Linked DNA regions of Alligator mississippiensis. The protein of the gene in region 3 interacts with the protein of the main gene of each other region in a biochemical or structural test. Links are inferred from orthologs where the notes say so. Each region holds a gene or a part of one and is shown on either strand. Other genes may lie near its edges.

Region 1 (7,444 bases), on a different chromosome or scaffold from region 3:
CCTTGCTTTGAAGCATCCTAGCGTCATCTGACGGCCCATCAAGACATGCCTAGTGCAGTCCAGGAGGTGCTTCCTACCCAAGCGTGCCTAGAGCATCCGACAGCCTTGGAGATGTAATCTTTCCAATGTGTCCAAGTTCAGACTACATTGGTGATGTTATCTTCCAAGGGGGCCTGGAATGCCTGGCAGTGCTTGCAGAAGCAACCTGCAGACATTGCCCGCATGCTGCGATGACTGAAAACTTAATTTAAAAAAAAAAAATCATGGTCAAAATATGAAGTTGCAAGCAGACTTATTAAGGTAATGCATACGGTGAGCCTCAATGGTGGAGCCATACACTCATCCTAAGGCAGCTTCTTTAAAATCTCTAAGCTGTTAAGACTTGTGCAGTGTGGAAAATAGACTTGTCTTAAGAGATCCCACCAGCTGGCTGCCAATCCAGTCCAGCACCACCTGCCATACTCAGTACCAGATGCTTCAGAGGACAGTCCAAAGAACAATGAAGGGGATGGTCGTTGGCAATGCATAGCAGGTGCACACGCACCCACTGGAAGCGCCAGCCACGAAACTGGAAGTGCACTCCCAGTTTAGCCACTGGCTCGGCGATCAGTCACTGGAGACCCCTCCATCGGCGATCTGGTGCCCGCCCCGGGGAGGCACCAGTCGGCCATGGGGACAGTCATGGGCTAATCCTACTGACCAAGGAAGCTTTCAAAGCTCCATAAAAGCTGGATAATTGATGCTCAAGCATTTTAATCCTGGCTAAGTGTAATGCTGGATGTTTCTTATTTGTGCAATACCTATTTATTTAGAATTCAATGAGCTTCAGACCCCTAAAGTACTAGTGTGGCCAAGGCATAGCATTTGACTCCTGAACTATAACACAGAGTTACTTACTCCTGTTAAAGAGCTATAGCAAGAAACCAGCATTGTGTTAGCACTTCAGCCAGGCTGATTTCCATACTCTAGGTCAGGACTGTCTGCCCTACTTTCCCCAGGCAAATGCTCAAGGACACGCCATGGCAGCGTGCTTCGAGGCAGAAGCATTAAGTGGTAACGATCACTGTAGCAAATTCAGGAAACAAGGCAACATCCGCAACAAGAAGAGCATTCGCTAATCTTTCAGAACTATAACTAATAGTTGTGGCCATGACAATGGGCAAAACATCTGCCAACAGACACCAGCTTTTCAAATGGGTGCCCTTTAAACTGTTATCCAACCCATTTGAATATAAAGCAAAAGCAAGGCCCATTTTAAAGCATCAACAAAACAGAAGAAACTCACCTCAACACTTCCCTCAGGAAAGCCAAACCTCTTTTGCACAACAGCCGTCAGCTCACGGATACGGCGACCTTTTTCACCCAGAACATTCTGAGTTCTGTGAAGAAAAAAGAATAGACATATTATTACAACCTGGATTTGAAACTGAACATATTGTTTTACAGAACATAACCTAGATCAAAGCTACCTTCAATGCCTGTCACTTAACTTCCATGAACGTCAACAGAATCCAACACATGAAAACCTTTAATGATCCGATCCAAGTGTTAGTGTTTGCTTTAGTCCAGTTTTAAGTGACCGATCAGAATCGGGTATCTATTATTTTTTGAAAGACAATCCTGCTACTTACTCTCATTTCCAGGAAGGTTTTCCTAATAGCCAATAGTCTTCCCTTAATTTCCTCCCATTATTTCTGTTTGCCGCCTTCCCAGTGGTGGTCATCCCTGCACTCCCTTTCTGCTATACGTAGCAGGGTGGTTTTTTAAGCCTTCTGGGCATTTATACACATACTTCTTTGTCCTGCAAAAGCCGGAGATTCGCTGCTTCGGAGCAGACTCAATTAATCGAAACTGCTCTGCATGCAAGCGGAGGCAAACTGTGCTGTGTCACATACAGTTGTGTAAGTGGCAAAATCCACGTCAGCACACAGAAAACATCGGTGGTGCGCTTTTGAACTACAGCGCCTCCGATGTGTTTTAGTTCAAAAGCGCACCACCGCTATTTTCTCAGTGCTGATGCACGTTTCACCGCTTACACAACTGCAAGCCTCGCAGTGTCGAGGACTTTTCAAAGCACCCGGCACCGCAGTGCTCGCACGTGTAAAAATGCCCTCTGTGACCGGGCCATGCCAATGCTCCTGTTGGGATCAAAACCAGAGGCCTGTTCCTGGCTAGTCTCGCCCCTCCATTCAGGGTCACACTGATCAGTGTATTTGGGGTCACGAAGGACTTCTACCCCATGGTCAAATTGATATTGACTGGTGGTGAGGGGAGAGGGTTGCCTTAATTTCTTCCTGTAATTTCTTTTTGCCACCTTCCCAAAGAAACGAAACACACAGACAAGAGTCAAACACAACTCTAAACAGCATCAAAGAGCTCAAAGCACGCTTCCCTCACCTGGTAGCCAGGATGATAATTTCAGTCCTGGTTGGAGTCACTCTGACCTCTACTCCGGAGTACCCATCTTCGGCCAGTTCACGAGTCAGAAACTCATTCAGCTCGGCTTTGAAGATACCATCCGCCACGAACTAGAAAAGGAAACAGACCTGGTCAAACTCTGCTCAACAAAACCGACTGTGTTGTTTTGCTCGTTCTCCTTCCTACCCCCTGCTTTCTGCTACATATGGCAGGGTGTTTTTTAAGCCTTCCTCTGGTTACAATCAAAGCTGGGGACTCCGACTGGGCTCCAACTGTGTCAATGCTCCTGCTGGGACCAGAGCCAGAGGCTCCTGGTTAGAGGGTCTTTCTTGCCCCTCTGCTCAGGATCAGACTGATTGTCAAATTTGGTGTCAGGAAGGAATTTTACCCCGTGGTCAAGCCAGTATAGACTGGGCGGGAAGTGGGTTGCCTTCTCTGAAGTGAGGGCACAGCCATCTACCTGGGATCTCTTAAGCGTACACTAACATTTCACAGAAGCAGGGCATCGACCACCACGGCTCCCCTGCTTTCCCTACGACAAGTTAGGGTGCTAGGTATCAGGGTAGACAGTCTTATGTCAACTTTAGACTGGACAGCACTGTTTGAACATGGAGGATCTCGCTTCATGCAGGCGGTCGGACTGGACACGACGCCTGCGCATCTCTACCAGCTCCCACTTCTCTATGAAATGCTCTCAGTTCAGGACCCGATTGAGGAGGCCGGCAGGGCCACCCTGGATCACTGCGCTGCTGTTCTCTGCAAACCTTGGGTGGCAATAACCCCGGAAAACACGCCGGTCAGCATAACTTTAGGAGCAGGTCGCTTCCTTCCAGCACCGGCTTGCACTCGGGCTGCTCCAGAACGAGCGGATGTATAACCACTATCGAACGACTTCCTAAACAGTGCTGGCCAAACTGGATTTTAAGGTTCAACTATCCTCGAAAGACTTCCAGACTGGAACGGCACCCGCTGGGCAGCTAACATGCGCTCGGGGTTACGTTTCGTAGGACCCATCTCCTCTGCAACCTGCTTGCTGCTGAAGTCACCCAGACACAGATAGGACCCGACCACTTCCCGCCACGCTCAGCTGGTGCGTGCACCTGGGGAAGGGCTCCCTGGGCTGCACCCAGAGCACCTGCCCGGGCCCAGGGGGTGCAGCAGAGCCCTGGCCCCGCTGGGGGAGGCAGAGCTGCACCCCGGACACACGTGCAAGCGCGCTCTGCCCCACGCGCTGCAGCCCCCCTCCCCCACCTACGTAACCCCCCTACGTAATCCCCCCTCCCACACAAGATGCAAGGAGCCGCCATGTTGCCGGCCAGGCCAGGCCGAGCCTCCATCCGCTTCCATCCGCCCCCGCCGCCGCCTTGTCCCCGCCACTCCCGACCCCAAACCCTGCCCGGGCCCCCGCCGCGCCCGGCCCCGCCGATATGGCCCCGCCCCGCGAGCCCGGGAACCCGCCCCGCGGCGCCCACCTTGCGCTTTTTGGAGATCTGCACCGCCATCTTCCCGCGCCGGCTGGGAAAAGAAGGGCCCGCCGCTCCCGAGGGGAAATATAAACCCCGTCGCTGCTTCCCATTGAGCGAGAGAGATCACGTGGGCCGAGGGGAGCGGGGGTTGCTGGGAAATGTAGTCTCTCCAGGACAAGCCTTCAGCCTAGGGTGCCAGCCCCGCAGCGTGCCCGTGGTGACGGCGCGCGGGGTGAATTCGCACCCGGGGCTCATCACGTGCAAGGCCCCGCGCGCACACGCAGCTTCACGCGTTTGGTTTGGGTTTAAAGGCTTGGTTCACCCACTGCCATAGAGCAAGTCCTCCCGCAGATGTAGAGTGTCCATTTTCAGGAAGTGTGGCATTCACTAGGGGTTGGACAAGCGGCTACTTCCGGGTGTGGCGGAACAGGCGGGCGCTGTGCAGGGCAGTGCTGATGCCTGCCTGTGGGCGCGGGGCTGCACGGGGAAGACTGCAACTGCGCAGACTAGCTAAAGGTCACACACACACTCTGTATGCATTGCACACACACACACACACACACACACACACTATATATATTTGTGCATTGCACACAGGCACACACACACTATGCATTGCACACATGCACACACTATATATGCATTGCGTGCACACTATATATATATATATATGCGTTGCACACATGTACACACTGCCTTGCACACACACTATATATATGCATTGCACACATGCACACTATGCATTGCGCACACGTGCACACTATACATGCATTGCGCACACTATGCATTGCGCACATGCGCACACTATATGCACTGCACATGTGCACACATAGTATATCTGTGCATTGCACACACGCTATAGGCATTGCACACCCCCAAACCCCCAGACTAAAGATCTCACTCACACGCTATATATGCATTACACATACACTCATACTAAAGATCACATACACACTATATATGCATCACACATACACACACACACACTATATACACACAATCTCTCTCTCTCTCTCTCTCTCTCTATATATATATATACACATATACACACACATACACACACACCCCAAAGTAGATCGATAGATAGACAGCTAGATCTACTTTGGTTAGTTCAGTGGTTCTCAACCTTTCTGGACCCCGCCCCCCATTAACTTTGTGAATCAAGTGACACCCAATGTTAAAAGCAGAATTCATATATTAGTGTTGGCGTCCTTACAGAGGGGCTGGGCAGTGGAGGTGGGGGAATTGTAAAGGCAGGGACAAGCCTGAATCGGGTTTATTTGCTTAGCTTGTCTACTTATCTCCTCACGCCTTACTTCCATCAAGACTACAAGAAAAACTACAGACCTTGATCCCCCCGCTACCTAACCCAGGGACTTTTTACATGCTCCCTAAAATCCACAAACAAGGGAACCCTGGCAGACCTATCATATCCAACCATGGGACCCTAACTGAGGAAATATCAGGTTTCGTTGAATCAATCCTAAAACCACTTGCCACCCACAGAGCAAGTTTTGTACAAGACACCACAGACTTTCTACAGAAACTTAAACACATAGACCACCTTCCCAGCAACACACTCCTAGCCACCATGGACGTTACCAGCCTATACACCAACATCTCACACCAGGATGGCATCCACGCCTGCCTTACATATCTACAGGAACAAGATTACAACTCAGGTTACAGACCCAAAGATATTACTGACCTTATACATGTCATCCTCACACACAACAATTTAACTTTTAATAACCAACACTTCCTCCAGATGATGGGAACAGCTGTGGGCACCAAAATGGCCCCACAGTATGCCAACCTTTTTATGAGCCACCTGGAAGAAGACTTCCTGAAGAACTGCACCCGCAAACCCTTGCTATATTTAAGATATATCTATGACATCTTCATCATTTGGACTGAAAACGTACAATCTCTGATTGAGTTCCATCAGAAATTTAACAATCGTCATCCCTCCATCCAACGTTCTCTCGAATACTCCAGCACCAACAGCTCCTTTTTAGACACGATGATCAGGATTCAGAATGGTAAAATACAGACCACAGTATACAAGAAACAGACCAACATGCATATCTGCACAGAACCAGCAATCACCCCACATGCACCAAGAAAGCTGTGATATACAGCCAAGCCCTCAGATCCCACCGCATTTGCACTGAAGAGAACACCTGGGATCGCCACCTCACCAATCTTAAAAAGGCTTTCACCCAGCAAGGACACTCCTCCAGAGAGATACATTGCACATAGATTCATAGATTCATAGATTGTAGGGTCAGAAGGGACCACAATGGATCATCGTGTCCCCCGGCAGGAAAGAGGACTGAGGTCAGATGACCCCAGCCAGGTGACTATCTAGCCTCTTCTTGAAGACCTCCCAGCTAGGTGATGTTGGCTACAAATGTCCAACTCAGGATCCTTAAAATTCTGATTTATTAGGCGGATTGAAACACTGTAATGAAGTTAAATCATAAATCTTGGGGCTGGTCCCCCCCCCCCGCCCACACACACACACACACACACACACAGAGTAGCGAGCTACAAGAGTCAGGTATACCTATCCCACAGGTGCTGGAGTCTGCCGTCGAGGCTTCTTTCAGCGTGGTGTTATCGGACCCCACTGCCCACTTCCCTCCAGGCCAAGAAGGACCCATCCACCACCACTCTCTGGGTGCGGTCCCTAAGCCAGTTGGCCACCCACCTGACCGTGCAGGCGTCCACTCCACAGTCTGCTAGCTTCCCAATGAGGATAGGGTGCGAGACTGTGTCGAAGGCCTTCCTAAAGTCCAGGAAGATGACATCAGCCTCGGCTCCCGCGTCCAGGCAGTGTGTGACCTGGTCATAGAAGGCTACAAGGTTTGTCAGGCAGGATCTACCTGTGACAAACCCGTGCTGGTTTCCCCTCAGCATCATTTCCCCTGCTGGGCCGGCACAAATGTGTTCTTTGATTATTTTCTCTAGCATTTTCCCAGGAATAGAGGTAAGACTGACTGGTCTAACGTTACCCGGCTCATCCTTTCTCCCTTTCTTGAAAATGGGCACCACATTGGCCCTTCTCCAGTCCTCAGGGACCTGGCGGGAGCACCACGAGTGCTCGAACAGCCATGCCAGCGACTCAGCTATGACACTGGCCAATTCTTTCAGCAGCCGTGGATGGAGGTCATCCGGGTCTGCTGACTTGTACCCATCCAGCTCCTCCAGGAGCTCCTTAAGTATTTCACATTTGAAAGAGCCACCCGGTTACCATGTGAAGAACTGCTGCAGTACAGAAGAAAACCCCCCGCAAATCTCACGCCGCTGGTTATGACACATCACCCCTCCCTTGAACCTGTACGGAAAATCCTCAAACAATTGCAACCCATACTAGACAGAGACCCTATTCTTAAAGAGCTCTTCCCAGAGCCACACATCCTAGCCTTCAAACAAGCACCGAACCTCGCCAACCTCATCACCAGAAGCAAACTTCCTCAAGCCCAGAACACACCAAAAGGATCCAGACCGTGCCAGGACAAGAAATGCCAAACCTGCCAACACATCTCCACCCCCCC
Region 2 (7,444 bases), on a different chromosome or scaffold from region 3:
GATTTTTGTACCACAAAGTACTTAGCACATTTTGGTGTTCTGGAAGACCTCATACTGAGAAGCCTCGTGTACATTTTACATCTGTAAAAAGGTGTAACCTATTAAAGCTTGGGTTTTGAACCTCCCTCCATATGCATCTTGCCCATAAAAGTCCCACAGCATTGCAGAGTATTGAATCTGCCAAGAAAATAGAACTTAACGCTAGGAGTTTGAGGTTTTTAAATTTTATTTCAGTAAAAGAAACACCATCCAGTTTCAAACAATTATATTTTATTAAAACAAGGGGTGGAGTTGTAGACGAACTGTTTAAGGGTATTCCAGTTCTGAAGTTCATAGCATAAATAAATCCTCCATCAATATCATAAAATAACTTAGTAGATCTTAGAATAAAAACCTTGAAAATCAACATTCCAAAATACGATAAAATGGTTTTAAATGTTTTGATTAAACCTTTTTGCTCTTTTCACGCTAAAGGTGTTTTAAATGAGAAACTACAAGTTGCACTCATGAAACTCAAAGGTATTTGGCATAGTCTGCAAGTAACTCAAGCATACAGCACCTTACATCTTCTTGCTATTTTTAGTTTTTTTCATGACGCTTGTTTAATACGCTTTCAGCTTCCACTTCCTTTCCCATCACTTTTCCACTGCAGAGTCCACTTCTTCTGTCCCACACAACGTGTAGTTCAACTTCAGTCTAACCCACTTGACATCAGCTTGTTTTGTTTTTTGTAATCCTTGTGTCAGGGTAGGGAGTTACTTCCTGAGCAACTGCTAAAGTATTTTAGAACTTCAGTGCAATTTTGTTCAGTTCGTTTACATCCAAATGCCATCACCGGTCAGGGAGATTAACCACTGGAACCCACTGATCCATGTAGCGACTTTCACGACAAAAGCACATTAGCTGACTCAGTGCTGGATCCTTCCACTGAGAAGCATAGGGGTTCTGGAAAAGACAGAGTTGATTTTAAAACAAAAAACTGTGACTGGTTTCAAATGATTAGTGTAAAAATAATTAAAGAGCGCTATTGTAATGCAACTATTCACATCCAATCCTAAAACTACCCTCTTTCCTTGAATTCATTTTAGTTTGCAACAGGTGAAGTCTTCTCAAGCCTTTTACAGGTTTCTTGCAGTCCTATCTGTATGCAGGAATATAATATTTAAAACCTGAATAAGGATTTTAAGGGTTTCACGATATCGCTGTGGTTGAGGGTCAGAGTATTTTAAACTCGTGGTAGATGCTGCCATCCTTCTTGTGTCTTTAAATTCTGTTTTAATTCTATTGTCTATTCATTAATTGGGCTTCTCTCATATGTGCGCACAAATACACTTCACACAGAACCTGGTCTCTTAACTGAAATGCAAGATTGTATGTCATGGGTTATTGACTGCCATATCTTTTTGCACAAAAATCCCCCTGATTTCAATGAAAGTTGCAATATCCATCTCAGGCTATTGTAGCTGTATTCTTTTTACCAGCTTCCTTTAGGTGCGATGCACAGTTCTCAAGTATTGCATCTAAAGCTGTCTCCCTCTGCAGGCCAAGAACTTTTAAAGGAACATTCACTGCTTTGTCTGCTTGTTTGAGATGTAATTTGGCTGGAACAGGACTCTTTAGAGCTTGCTTTTTTTTCCTTAAGAAGAAATTTCAAAATAGGAACTTTACTTTTTAAATGTGTTTTACCCTGTCCAAACAGAATTGGAGCAATTCCCCTGTTTTTGTCCACAACTAGCTTTCAGTTTATAAAATAGCTTGACTTGAAGTATTATTATCACATCATTTAGCACCTTTAAAGTAATCCTCCCCAGAACCTTTAAAGAAAGTTCCTCCTGGCCTACCCTTTTCTGCCAAAAGCAATCCAACCTGCTTATCTAATCCAGTAATGAGGAAAGACAAATATAAATACCCCAGCTGCCCTAACAAGGTGACTCACAGGGCTCACTCCTGCTGCTGACAGGATCTAACATGTTTGAACATGTCCATAAAAGTGGGAAAAAATCTCTATAATCAAATCGGGAGCAGCTCTGATGTAAGTCCTTGGTACAGGTAAGTAGAGGAAAGGGCACCTCAGTCCCAACTGCAGAGGGGCCTGATCCAAAATCCCAGCTGCAAATCCAAACTCAGATCCAAGTTTAAAGTGGGCCGAGCTGAAACCTTTCCAGGGTGAAACTCCTAAAGTTTGGAGCCTGTTGGAAACCCAATCTGAAGGTTATGTTGAGGGCAAACCCAGCTGTACTCAGGTGAAGAGCGGGAATGGGCCCCCTGCTGAAGCAGCAGCACCAGCAAAGTGTCTCTGTGCTGGCAAGTGTCCTGTGCTTCGGCTGCCAGCTGGAGAGGGCAGTCACTTGGGTGGCTACGCAGGGGACTGGCAGAGGCAGGAGAAACTAGCACTTTGCTGACTAACCAGGTAGACATGCGTGCACACACGCCTTGCAGACTAACCAGGTAGACATGCGTGCACACACGCCTTGCAGACTAACCAGGTAGAGATGCACACTCACACACACGCCTTGCATGCGTCTACCTGGTTAGTCTGCATGCATACACACACACGCACCTTGCGGGCTAACCAGGTACATGCACACCTTGTGGGTGAACCAGGTAGACACACCTTGCAGACTAACCAGGTAGACACATGCATATACATACACAGGCACACCCCTTGAAAACTAACCAGGTAGACACACGCATATACACATGCACAGACTAACCAGGCAGACACATGCATACACACACATGCACACCTTGCAGGTGAACCAGGTAGCCACACGCAGGCCCACCTTGCAGACTAACCAGGTAGACACATGCATACACACACATGCACGCACACCCCTTGCAGACTAACCAGGTACACACATGCATACACATGCGTGCACACCTTGCAGGTGAACCAGGTAGCCACATGCAGGCACACCTTGAAGACTAACCAGGTAGACACACAACCCTTGCAGACTAACCCGGTAGACACATGCATGCACACCTTGCAGGTGAACCAGGTAGCCACACGCAGGCACACCTTGCCGACTAACCAGGTAGACACGCACATATACACACCCATGCATGCACGCACGCACACCCCTTGCAGACTAACCAGGCACACACACATGCGCACACCTTGCAGGTGAACCAGGTAGACACACGCAGGCACACCTTGCAGACTAACCAGGTAGACACGTGTGCGCGCACACACACACGGAGCAGGTCGGGGCGGGCGCACGGGCCCTGGGGACCCCGCCCCCGCAGGTGGAGCCCCTTCCCTTCCCCTCCCTGGCCGTGCGCTGCCTACCGTGACGAGCACGCAGTGCAGGTCTGCGGGCGGGTCGAGGCCGGGGCCGGCGCCGGGCGGCGGGAGGCGCAGCAGCTCGGCGAGGCGCGCGGGGTTGCTGACGCGCAGGATGCTGATGTCGTTCTCGCAGCAGAAGGCCTGCAGCAGCGTGAAGTGGATCTGCAGCGCCACGTCCCGCGCGTCCTCCTCGTCGGCGGCCAGCAGGCAGAGCACCACGCGCTCCGCGTCCCTGCGGGGAGACCGCGCTCAGCCCGCGCCGCCGGGCCGGGGCCGGGGACAGGGGGGTGCGGGGGGGGGGAGGGGCAGGGCACTCACACGTTGAGCAGCTTGGCCGCCTCGTAGACGCCGACGGTGACGCTCCGCTGGCTCAGCGCCTTGCTCAGCACCTCCTGCAGCGCCGAGCCCGCCGTCTCCATCCTGAGGGGGCAGCGCCAGCGCCATCAGAGCCGGCGGCGCCGGGACCCGAGCTCGAACCCGCGCCCCCCGCGCGCCCCGCGCCCCCCTACCTGGCCCGGCTGCGGCGCGGTCCGCCCGGCTCCTCCAGCGTCATCGCTCACCTCGCGCCGCGGCGCCGGCTCTGAGGGAGCGGGGCGGCCCGCGGGACTTCTCCTGCCAACACCCAGCCAACCGCCTCCTCCCTCATTTGCATGCGGCCGCCCCATTGGGTCATGCAAATGTGTCCCGTGTTCGACTTGACCTTGTGCGGCCCCGGCCAGTGCGAGAGGAGGGCGGGGGGGGGGGCTTTTTTCTTTTTCTTTTTTTCTCTGCTGGCTGATTGGAGGGCTGGGAGGCCGGTGCGGTGGGGAGCTGTCAATCACGCGTGCCCCAGCGCTGAGGGTTGCAGTGGGGACCGCTCTTGTCATGCTGTGGGGAGGGGCCCAGGCGCTGCACTTGCGTGGCTCGCCTGGCTTGCAAAGGGGTTGAACGCTCACAGCTCCCCCTGCCTCAAAAGTAGCAGCAGGTGCTCAGCACCACTGGCAGCCTCGCCTTCCCCTCAGACAACATCTGTGGGGTGCAGGGACTTTGCTCCAAGCTTCTGCAGACCCTGAAGGAGGCAGAGCGGGGGGCGACCCTGAAGTGCTACCCTTCAGATCCAGTCCAAATGGAAGTCAGGTCTCAGCCGTCAATTCTCACAGACAAAAAAGTAGCAGAGAAGCAGAAATTACTAGAAACTTGTGGCCAGGTGTGTTGCTGAGGGAAAGTGGCAGCTGCGCTGAAGTCAGCAGCATAAAGTACGGCAAATGGCAGCTGGCTCTGCACCCCGCAGATCAGCCCCCAATTAGCTAGGCCTGCAAACGTTGAGCGCTGCGGCACTACTCTGTATGAGCCGGTGCAACATCTCACACGTTCGCCCTTTGCTGGCAGCAGTCGGGTTACAGATGGGGGGAGTGTAGCGCCTGGGTTACTGGGGATCTTCCAGTTTATGGGGCCTGCTGTGTTCGGGCTGGGTCAGCCCCAGGTTCTGCTGAAAAATTGGGGCTATGAGTAGATCCAGGGGTTTGTGCACAAGCTGACTGGCAGCCGTGACCCTACAGCACTTGGCTGCACGCTGCCTAGTGTCATTCCCTGCCTGCTCTGCAGCAGCGCCAGTCCTGACCCCCTTTTTCCAGCCCAGCTGCTCCATTGTGGGGTCTCCTACACTTCTAATCCCCAGCCAAATTCTGGACCTCGACCCCCTTTCTAGGTTCCTTCTTTCCATTCCTGTTCCCAGGACCTCATTCCCCCAGCAGGATGTGTCCTTCGTCCTTTGGCCACCCTGAGATGAGGCAGGGCAAGAAAAAGACACTGAGGATGGGAGAAGACTGCGAGGCTTGAGGGGGTGTGAAGAGATGGTGGGCACTGGCAGCACTTCTTTCTCTTGGAGGGAGAGAAGCAAGGGGCAAAGGACTCAGGGGAATAAGGCAGAAGCAACAAGGAATACACTTGGGACAAGGGAAGGGAGAAAAAATGTAAAAAGATTAAAGCCTAAAAGAGAAAACAAAATTGGGGATGCAAGGGGCAAGCCCAGAGGGCAGAATTGAAGTGAACACTGGGGTGTGTAAGCACTGCTCTCTACCCTGGAAGATGCTGCATGGGAGAGCTCTAGCATCTCCAAACCCAGCCACGCTTTGGAAATCTTGTCTCCCTCATGTAGGGTGTAACCAAAGGTAAAGCAATAGCTAGGAACTAGGAACAAAGCAAACTCCTACATTAAATGCATGGGGTCACTGTAAATTGTTCCCACTGAAGTGCAGCTCTCAACTTTCCCTCATTGTAGACACCAGTTCACCAGACAAAGGTGCCACCTCACATTTGTTATAGCAAGTTAGTGACGTAAGAAGTGCTGATTCATAAAACGGAAATGGCAGAAATCTTTGTACCTAGCCTAAAGCAGAAGGGCATGGGGGAGTCCAGAGATAAATCTGCGAGATGACATTTAAGTCATGTGCTCAGGGCAAGACCTGTTTAAAGAAGAACTCCACCCGTTGGAAATATAAAAGTATGTTGCCTTCGGCTTTGCCTGAATTTATTCTTCCTTAGGAGTGAAACTGCAACAGCCTGTCAGTTGAATTCACCTCTCTTTCTCCTGTCAAGGGGAAAGCAGAGATGCATTTCAGTGCCCCATGAACAGCCATGTCATGCAATGGGCAGCTCTGGTAGGAAGTAATAAACTGCACATCATTTTAAGTCTTGCACTGAGGGACTTAAGCTCGACACACAAGTTAGAACCAGTCCTTGGCCCACTGTCAATTGCCAGTGTATCTCTGTGATATACGTTTGGGTGCCCCTGCTTCAGCACAGGTATAACATTTCTATCATTTATGTTGCCTAAGTCAGAATTCCTTATGTCAATAATTTACTAAGATAAAAAGTGACCTTGCAGTGTTGGGTGGGACAAGTGGGAATTTGTGCCTGAAAGGAAAGACAGTGAAATGCAGGACAGCTGCATTTCATTGCGAAACTGGGGAGATCTGTAGGATGTTTAATCACAGATATGCCTAGTACAGGAGTAACTGGAGTCACTCTAGGCTTATGCTTATGTCATGGAGGACAGTCTTTGTCTCAGTGATTCTGAATTCCCTTCTGGATCAGAATGGTGTAAGTGTAGTATTGCAACCCCACGCATTCAAGAGTTGTGCTTTTAATGATTTTTTTTAAGTAATCGTTGTGGGTTTGTTTTATCTGCCTTCTGGTTTCCAAGACTGTAGACCAATGGTAGGCAACATTTTTTGGCTGGAGTGCCGAAAAAACCACAATGTCACTTTGGAAGGTGCCAGAGTGCCAACATGCTGGAGCCCGGAGCAGCTGTTTGCAGCCTCCCAGCTTCAGCCAGTCCACAGAGCCTGGTCTGCTTGCAGCAGGGCTTGCAGCCTCCCAGCCACCTGCTGGAAGCAGCCTGGGCTCGGTGGCTGGCAGCAGCTGCTTAGAGCCCAGGCTGGTAGTGGTGTGCAGAGCAAAATGGCCTTGCGTGCCATGCTTGGCACGCGTGCTGGGGATTGCTGACCCCTGCTGTTGACTTCAGGCTACAATCATAGCATGTTTTCAATTTTTCTCAGCAAACCTCAGTAGCAGATGCTTATTTGTTGTTTGGTTTTTTTTTAATTGAAAACCCCAAGACCTGACTTCAGCAGCTGGACAAAAGCTAGATTCATAGTAGGATCTTGAAAGCTGACAGCAATGAAAACAAAAGACACTGTCATAACATAATAGTTTTATCTGTGGCTTTCAATAAGTAGCTGGTAAACCCCCCCCCCCCCCCATGCTCAGCTTTATTTGTTTTAAGAAAAGCCTTTTACAATTGATAATTGTGCAGCTCTTCCAGCTGCTTATGCTAGTGAGGTGCCAAGAAGGAAGTGAAGAAGGTGGGTGGAGAGGTGTGTGCAGCAGGTATCAAATATCGTGACTTGCACAATGTAAGTTGGCCGGCAGCATCCAAGGCCTTCTGAGTTTCAGGGCTTCCAAGTGCTGGGATTAGGAAACATCCTCCTCATAATACTCCTCTCAGGAACATGGGAGTCTTTGTCACCAAGTTTTAGAGTAAGCTTGGGTTGTTTTTAGGAAGCTAAGTTTCTTGAACCTGGGACATTTACTTAGACTTGTTTCCAGATTCATACGCTTGCTAATTGCATCATCTTTTGCCATTGCTGAACTCTGTCCTGCAGGTCCTTGCCCTTC
Region 3 (7,444 bases):
ATTTTAATCTTGGGACAGTCAGACAGCACCTTTTTATCTGATATACATACATAAATCCCAATTCTAGTGCAGTTAAGTGCCTCACTGACCTATTATAACATGCCAACTTTCAAAAAGTCTCCCAGCAGTATTTTACAGATCAGCACTCTTGAGAGCAGAAATAATGAATTTGTTTTGGCTGGTGCTAGTAACTACACCTAAAAGACTTGCTTGATTAAGAGGAACAGATGCAGCTACACAGCCAAGCTTAATCCAAATATGATTATATTCCCCATGCAAATAGTCTAATCTGTTATTTGAGCACTAATCAGTTTACTCATGTGTACTGTCCTACTTGAACCTGATTTAGCTTTATATTTAAAGAAACAGTGTTTAAGGCCATACGTTTAAGGTTTCTGGTCAGGAACTTTCATACATATGATATTTTCACGCTCTCTTACACTACACTATTCCATTTACACCACTAATAAAGTATATCAGTGAAGTGAAACTGAGAGAAACTTTCAACCCCAGAACATGACACTGTCACAGAGAAGTTGAAAGACATACAGATCACGGTGCGTTGCTTTATATTAGACACTATAGCCAGCACAGAACCCAGAGTTTTCCAGGAGCCCATAAATCACAGTTTTTTGGAGAATGAGGGCTCCATTCTCCACTTCCCTGCATCTGTTGTAGAAGTTTACACCAGTATGAAATGTGACTACAAACCACCACCTTTTTCAGTATTTTATTTATACTTAAATAAGTAAATGAATAAACAATAAAAGACCTGTCTACATCATGTCCACAGCACTCCTACGGAAGGCCGCTCTTGAACATGGCCTGCTCACCTGCTCTTGCTCATACAGGACACATCTGGAGCCACTGGTGGACACCCCTCATAGCCATTCTCAATGCACCAGACAGAGGTCTTGAGAATGGATGTCAGGGTGAGCACCGAGAGGCTTCACTGCCTATGACAGGGTTTGGTGCATACAAATGAGAGTGTGTGGGTGACACATAGTTGAGAAAGGTCCCCCCTGAAGACACGCTGTAGATATATTCTTAGTAGGTACATTCATAACACTGTCTGAGTAGACAGTATAGAAAGGGGCTGGGGAGGGAAGCAGAGCAGGGGAAGAGTCCAACCTGCTTCTTCAGCTTTATTCGTGGTTTGCCACCTTTCATGCTTTTATCTTCTTGCATGATATTTGGTGTTTTCCTCTGAGTCCCTGCTCCTTACTCCAGGTTATTATAAGAAAATCTTACCCTCCAGTAAAACAGTAAGGTTTATAATTGCATAGAAAAGCATAGCATGACCCCTATACATTCAAAAACTAAGAGGCAAATGAAAAAAAAAAAAATTATATATATATATATATATATATTTTAACACCTTATTATTTTTACATAAATCTTATTACTTGGGGTATCTGACATCCCGGATCTTGTGAATGTTTGAGATGGTCAATAGTGGTACTCCAGTAGCCAAAATAATAAACTCTTGTATCAGATCTAGTAAGATGCCCATGTCTTATTTGATTTTGTATGACCTGTCCTGCAATGAAAGAGAGGATCCTTCAGAATCCAAGCCAGATAGTCTGAGATCTGACAGTTTTATAGAATCATACAAAAAAAAGAGCTAGAAGGGACCTCAGGAGGGTCCTGGTCCAACCCTATGCTCAAGACAAGCTCATATCTGTATAAGCCATTTCATCCAAGTATCTGTCTAGCCTCATTTTGAGAGCTTCCAAGGATGGAGATTTCGCAGCCTTTCAGTGAATTTGTTCCAGTGCTTAATAAGCTTCATAATTAGGGTAGTAGCCAAGGCAGGAGTTGAGGATAAATTTAAATCGCTTGTATACTTTCCAGCAGTCTCACCCCATCTTTACTAGCAGCCATAAGGGCCAGTCTACAGTCAAAACTAGCTAGAGTACAACTGTGCTCCTGGCACTCCCCCCTACATTGGTACTACAGCAGGAGATGGCTGCCCAGGGAACCCCATCTCATTGCTCACAGTGTCTGGGTACCACTTCTAAATAAAAAAAGAGGGTCAATAGTTCTTTAAATAGGTGCACAGACAGCACCTTAAAGAAAAACCTAGGGCTTGGGACACCACATGCCTGCCTATACATGTGCTCCAATGTGTTCTAATTAGATGCATTCTAATTAATTGATTAATCTAATCTGTTGGAGAGTTCCAATTGGAATGCTCTAGCATGCCTCACTGTCATGTGTATTTCAGCATCACACATTTCAAAATGCAGCAGGGGTGCTTTAAGTAAAGCTTGATTGATAAGTTTTAGTTTAAGCACCCCACATGGCTATTTTGAAACATGGGATGCAGAACACATGCAACATTTTAATTACAGCAACTGGCCAGGAGCCACTCTAATTAAAACACCCCTCCTCCCCCCATGCACCTGTATTATTTCCAGCTATCCCAGGTGTCCATGGTGATGTCAACCAAGGCTCTCAGTTTTCCCAGCTTTGTCTACCAAGCTTCAGTGGCCTCAAGGAAGGCAGGGAGGTGAGAGGCCGGCAGGTACTTTCCAGATGTCAGCATCCTTCAAAAGGGTGACAACATTATTAGGCTGTTACAAGGACAAAGGATTCCTGCTCGAGGGATCAGACAGTGCTATGTTGCAGCAGAGGAAGGTGGGGAGTACGACTAGCATCTACATACTTTATTCCTTTGCTCCATTTCTACCCAACTTATGATAATGGAGTTGCTTGACCACCCTCACGAGCAACAACAAATCCGAGCCAGGCTGATAATACCTCCCCAAAATACTCAGGAAACCCCATTCATGCCAGAAGGGAAGAGGCTTTAAAGACTCTTCCCCTGACATAACCCGAAGGAGGGAGGCTTAACAAAGGCTGAAAAATCCAACAGGCTTGGCTTGATTTATCCTCCCGCCCACGCCACTTTCCCACGTTCCCAAAGGGAGAAACAGTAGAACACCGAGTAAAATATTCTCGGTGGCCGCGCCCGACCGCGCACCTCCGAAGTGGCCGCCTTTTCGCTTAGCTTTGGCGCCGACCTTGAGTCGCGCGCTGATTGGCCGCTTTGAATACCTCGGCGCGACGCTATTGGCTGGGCCGGGGCGGCGCCGCGCGGTTAGTTCGAATCGGCCCCGCACAGGCGCGTGCCGCCTCTGGGCTTTGTGCAGCGGCGGTCCCGGGGCAGCCACTCAGGTACGGTCCCGGGGGGATGGATGCCTCCAGCTCTGACACCGACCCACTGGGCCGGGGAGGGCTGGGGGCAGTGTCCCGGGCTCGGCCGCGACCTCTTCCACTGCCTGGTCTTCCCCCCTCGCCCGGCCCCAACAAAGCCGGGCCGGGCGTCCCGTGCGCGGCCTGCGGACACCCCCGCCCTGGGGCCGAGACACGGGGGTGGTGCAGCTAGACACCCCCCCCCGCCAGCGGCAGGGTAGCTGCAGGACGCCCCTTAGAAACTACCGGGTGGGTAAGGAAAGAGCCGCAATCGTGACCCCGCACGGCCCCGGACAGCTCTCCATCAGGCCTAGAACAGTTTGTGACTGGCTGGAAGCCTGGATGGGCACCTTCCACCTTGCCCGGGGTGGGCAGTGGGGATAGTTTCCTCCTGTGCGGGACCGGGTCCTAGCAGATGGTGGACACAACCCCTCCAGTCCCGTTTGGAACTCACCCAACCCAATTTAGTGCTTTACCCCAATCCCGGGGGCCTGGAGACCTGTCCTCAGCTCTCTGGCTCCTTCCTAATTATTTCTTCTTTTAAGGCTAGTCACATTAAGGAGTGATGGACAACTACACAAAAATAGAGAAGATTGGTGAAGGTGGGTAACACAGGATGCATGATCCTTTATGTTGTGTATTTGGATGCAAACTTTTTCAACCCCAAAGGAAGCTTGTTTGGCAGTAGCTGCACTTACTAATTAAGTATGTCTGTCTAGTCCCATGAATATGCTTTCAAAATAGCTCTTGGTTTGGTGGCATTGGGAGCCACCTGAAAATGCAAAGGGCAGTGGCTCTCACACGTCTTAGATTCAAAGCACCCCTCAGAAAATGCCAGCTCTTGGTTTTCACCTGTTCCGTGATTATAGAAAAATAATAGAGCAATTCTGCTGCAAGGATGTTTTTGACACCATGTATTTGAAATCTCTGGGTTTATTTTGTGAATCATGTGCAAGTGTTATGCGGTAGGAACCAGTAACAGGATCTCATGGCCCATCAGGATACGGTGGCATTCTGGTTGGAAATCACTGATATAGCATAGCGAGCAGCTTCCTTCATGTCGATGGTCACTGGTACATGTGTATATAACCCTTTAGTAGCACTTAGGAGGGAAAGAAGAGGAAAGATAGATCTGCTTTTGTACGAGAAGTAGTTGGATCCATGGTTTTGCCCTATAGATTGTGCTGTAAAAGCAGTTGTGACATCCTTTCTAAATTTTTATTTGAGGGCTAAAGTGCAGGAATAAAGGAGTGATATTGTAAGCCATTCCATTACTGATCCCAAGTTTCTTGAAACACTGCATAAACATGCGAAGGTAACTGAAAATAAGTTGTATATTAGTTAAGGAACTCTTACTTTCCTTTTATATCAAGAATGAAGAGAGTTAAAAGTTGAGAACAAAACACTTCAAGAAAAAAGTACTAGGAAAACAATACTTTTTGGAAGTTAATCGAAGAAAGCTGTCCCGAGCAAAAGTCCAGCAATCCTGACTTAAAATAAAACTAGCATCCTCAGTATTCTGATCTGCTCTGTGGTTTGAGTTAATCGAAGAAAGCTGTCCCGAGCAAAAGTCCAGCAATCCTGACTTAAAATAAAACTAGCATCCTCAGTATTCTGATCTGCTCTGTGGTTTGAGTTACAGAGGTAATCCTAAACTTTTAATCTGTTTTTGCCTTAGAGTTTACCAGTGCATATAGCTTGGAGTCAGGCAAAAAATATTTAGATTGTAATATCTGGTTCTGTAGAGAATCACCACAATGCAACAGCCTTATTTCACTTGAAATTATGGTGACCTTGTTTTTTACCTAAATCTTCACAAAGCTGTTTTTCGTATGTCACATTTTTGTCAGGTACCTATGGTGTTGTATATAAAGGCCGACACAAAGCCACAGGCCAGGTGGTTGCCATGAAGAAAATTCGACTAGAAAGTGAGGAGGAAGGTGTTCCCAGTACAGCAATCCGAGAAATTTCCTTATTAAAAGAGCTACATCATCCCAACATAGTCTGGTATGGTATGCATGCAGTATTCTGGCATTTTGCTTTCTCTGTTGAAGAGTACGCACACTCCTATCAATATCCATTCCAATTACTAAGTACTACGGTGAAGTGAGTGGGTTTTACCTTTGCTTCGGATTAGTTGTCATGAGGTTCAGGTTCCTAAAATTACAGATCATGCCTTTCTCTGCAAATCCTTTTCTTAGTCTATCAGTCCCACTCCCTCATCTACCTACCAGTTAGGAGATCTTAGATTTTTCATTTGTCACTGGAATCTGTACAGCAGCTTACAGTGAGAAAAATATTAGATATGACTTGATAAAGGAAGCAGCTGGTGCTGTTCTTCAATCAGCCACATAATCTTCACTGAAAGATTTGGACCACCTTATCTGATCCTAGTGACTAACAATAAGGATGTATTCGAGTCCTAACTTTTGAAAGAAGTTGCTTTGTTTCAACAGCAGACATTTATTAAAATGTAGTTTTAAAGTTTGTTGTGACCCTTGTATGGCTGGTACAAATTAATGAGCTGTGATTTCAAGATATTTCATGGTTTCATACTTGGTTGGGTCGGAAGGGACCTGAGCAGGAAAGAGTACTGGGGTCCATCTAGCCTCCTCTTAAAGACACCCAGGGTAAGAGCCAGCACCACTTCTCTTGGAAGTTGGTTCCAGATCCTAGCCACCCTGACTGTGAAGTAGCACCTCCTGATATCTAGTCTAAATCTACCCTCTGCCAGCTTGTGACCATTACTTCTTGTCACTCCTGGGAGTGCTTGGGGGAACAGGGACTCCCCCAATGCCTGCTGGTTCCCTCTGACTAGTTTGTAAATGGCCACCAGATCCCCCCTCAGCCTTCTCTTGTGGAGGCTGAACAGGTTCAGGTCCCTTAGTCTCTCCTCGTAGGGCCTGCCCTGCTGCTCCAGGTCATGCGAGTGGCCCTCCTCTAGACCCTCTTGATGCCATCCACATCCCTCCTGAAGTGCGGCGCCCAGAACTGGATGCAGTACTCCAACTGTGGCCTGACCGGTGTCACATACAGGGGGAGGATCACCTCCTTGGACCTGCTTGAGCTGCGTCTGTGGATGCATGACAAGGTGCAGTTGGCCTTCCTGACCGCGTCCTCATGCTGTCGGCCCATGTTCGTTTTGGCATCAATAATGACTCCCAAGATCCTTTTCTGCCTCTGCACTGACAAGAAGGGATTTCCCCAGCCTGTAGGTATGCTGCTGGTTCTTCCTCCCCAGGTGCAGTACCTTGCACTTGTCAGTGTTGAAACCCATCCTGTTCTCATCTGCCCACCCCTGTAACCTGTCTAGGTCCGATTGCAGCCTATTTTCCCTTCTAGCGTGCCCGCTTCCCCCCACATCTTAGTGTTGTCTGCGAATTCGAACAGGGTGCTTTTTACCCCCTCATCCAAGTCACTGATGAAGATGTTGAACAGTGCAGGCCCGAGGACTGAGGCCTGCAGAACCCCACTGCCCACCTCCCTCCAGGTTGAATAAGACCCGTCCACCACCACTGTCTGGGTACAGCCCTCCAGACAGTTAGTGACCCTTCTGACTGTGTAGGTGTCAACGCCACAGTCCCCTAGTTTTTTAATGAGAACGGGGTGAGAGACAGTGTCAAAGGCCTTCCTGAAGTCCAGAAAGACTACGTCCACTGCTACCCCTGCGTCTAAGGATTTTGTGACCTGGTCATAGAAGGCCACCAGGTTGTTCTGATAGGACCTGCCTCTAATGAACCCGTGTTGGTTGCCCCTAAGCATAATCTCCCCTACTGGCCCCTCACGGACATGCACCAGGATATTTCTCTCAAAAAGCTTACCCAGGATCGATTTGTTGCTTGACAACGGTGAATTTGTAGAATTGCTTGAGCCTAGAAAATATATATAGTTTTGTCAAATGTTTGCTTAGTCACTCATACAGTACACTGGTTTTTTAGATCTGTTTCAGTCTAGGTGGATTTTTAGTGAGGAGAAAGGCTGACTAGTTGAAATTGAAGGTCTGCATGACTTGCAATTATGAACCACTTTTTAATAGGTGGAAAAAACATAAGAATCGTACAAATCCTGCGTTGAGCTCTGTGTAGGCTTCCGGTTTAATGGAGAGATCTGCTATCTGTGTACAAGCAATGGGCTTCTTAAGCACTTTTCTAATGCCTATGAAAGAACTGTCTTCAGTGGAAGTCCAAGAGTCACGTTAAATAAATACTACCTTATTTCATCATCTTTTTTTTAAAGAAAGCACTGC

What was found.
Region 1: of the proteins of CDK1 (region 3) and RPS3, one has a biochemical effect on the other in vitro, tested with the Homo sapiens proteins (2 studies listed by BioGRID, with this or other methods). The link is inferred for Alligator mississippiensis from reciprocal best matches to the Homo sapiens genes CDK1 and RPS3.
Region 2: the proteins of CDK1 (region 3) and GADD45A form a complex in vitro, tested with the Homo sapiens proteins (5 studies listed by BioGRID). The link is inferred for Alligator mississippiensis from reciprocal best matches to the Homo sapiens genes CDK1 and GADD45A.

Annotation. Positions count from the first base shown.
Region 1 is NC_081824.1:468,418,353-468,425,796, reverse strand, and holds the start of RPS3 (small ribosomal subunit protein uS3), read right to left. Parts: upstream 3,999-7,444; 5' UTR 3,921-3,998; coding exon 3,891-3,920; intron 2,529-3,890; coding exon 2,398-2,528; intron 1,380-2,397; coding exon 1,286-1,379; intron 1-1,285. UniProt on the Homo sapiens protein: Component of the small ribosomal subunit. The ribosome is a large ribonucleoprotein complex responsible for the synthesis of proteins in the cell. Has endonuclease activity and plays a role in repair of damaged DNA.
Region 2 is NC_081828.1:18,318,416-18,325,859, reverse strand, and holds GADD45A (growth arrest and DNA damage-inducible protein GADD45 alpha), read right to left. Parts: upstream 3,906-7,444; 5' UTR 3,840-3,905; coding exon 3,796-3,839; intron 3,707-3,795; coding exon 3,605-3,706; intron 3,519-3,604; coding exon 3,290-3,518; intron 946-3,289; coding exon 832-945; 3' UTR 209-831; downstream 1-208. UniProt on the Homo sapiens protein: In T-cells, functions as a regulator of p38 MAPKs by inhibiting p88 phosphorylation and activity.
Region 3 is NC_081829.1:48,176,077-48,183,520, forward strand, and holds the start of CDK1 (cyclin-dependent kinase 1), read left to right. Parts: upstream 1-3,078; 5' UTR 3,079-3,180; intron 3,181-3,225; exon of another isoform or gene 3,226-3,451; intron 3,452-3,743; 5' UTR 3,744-3,763; coding exon 3,764-3,800; intron 3,801-5,048; coding exon 5,049-5,205; intron 5,206-7,444. UniProt on the Homo sapiens protein: Plays a key role in the control of the eukaryotic cell cycle by modulating the centrosome cycle as well as mitotic onset; promotes G2-M transition via association with multiple interphase cyclins.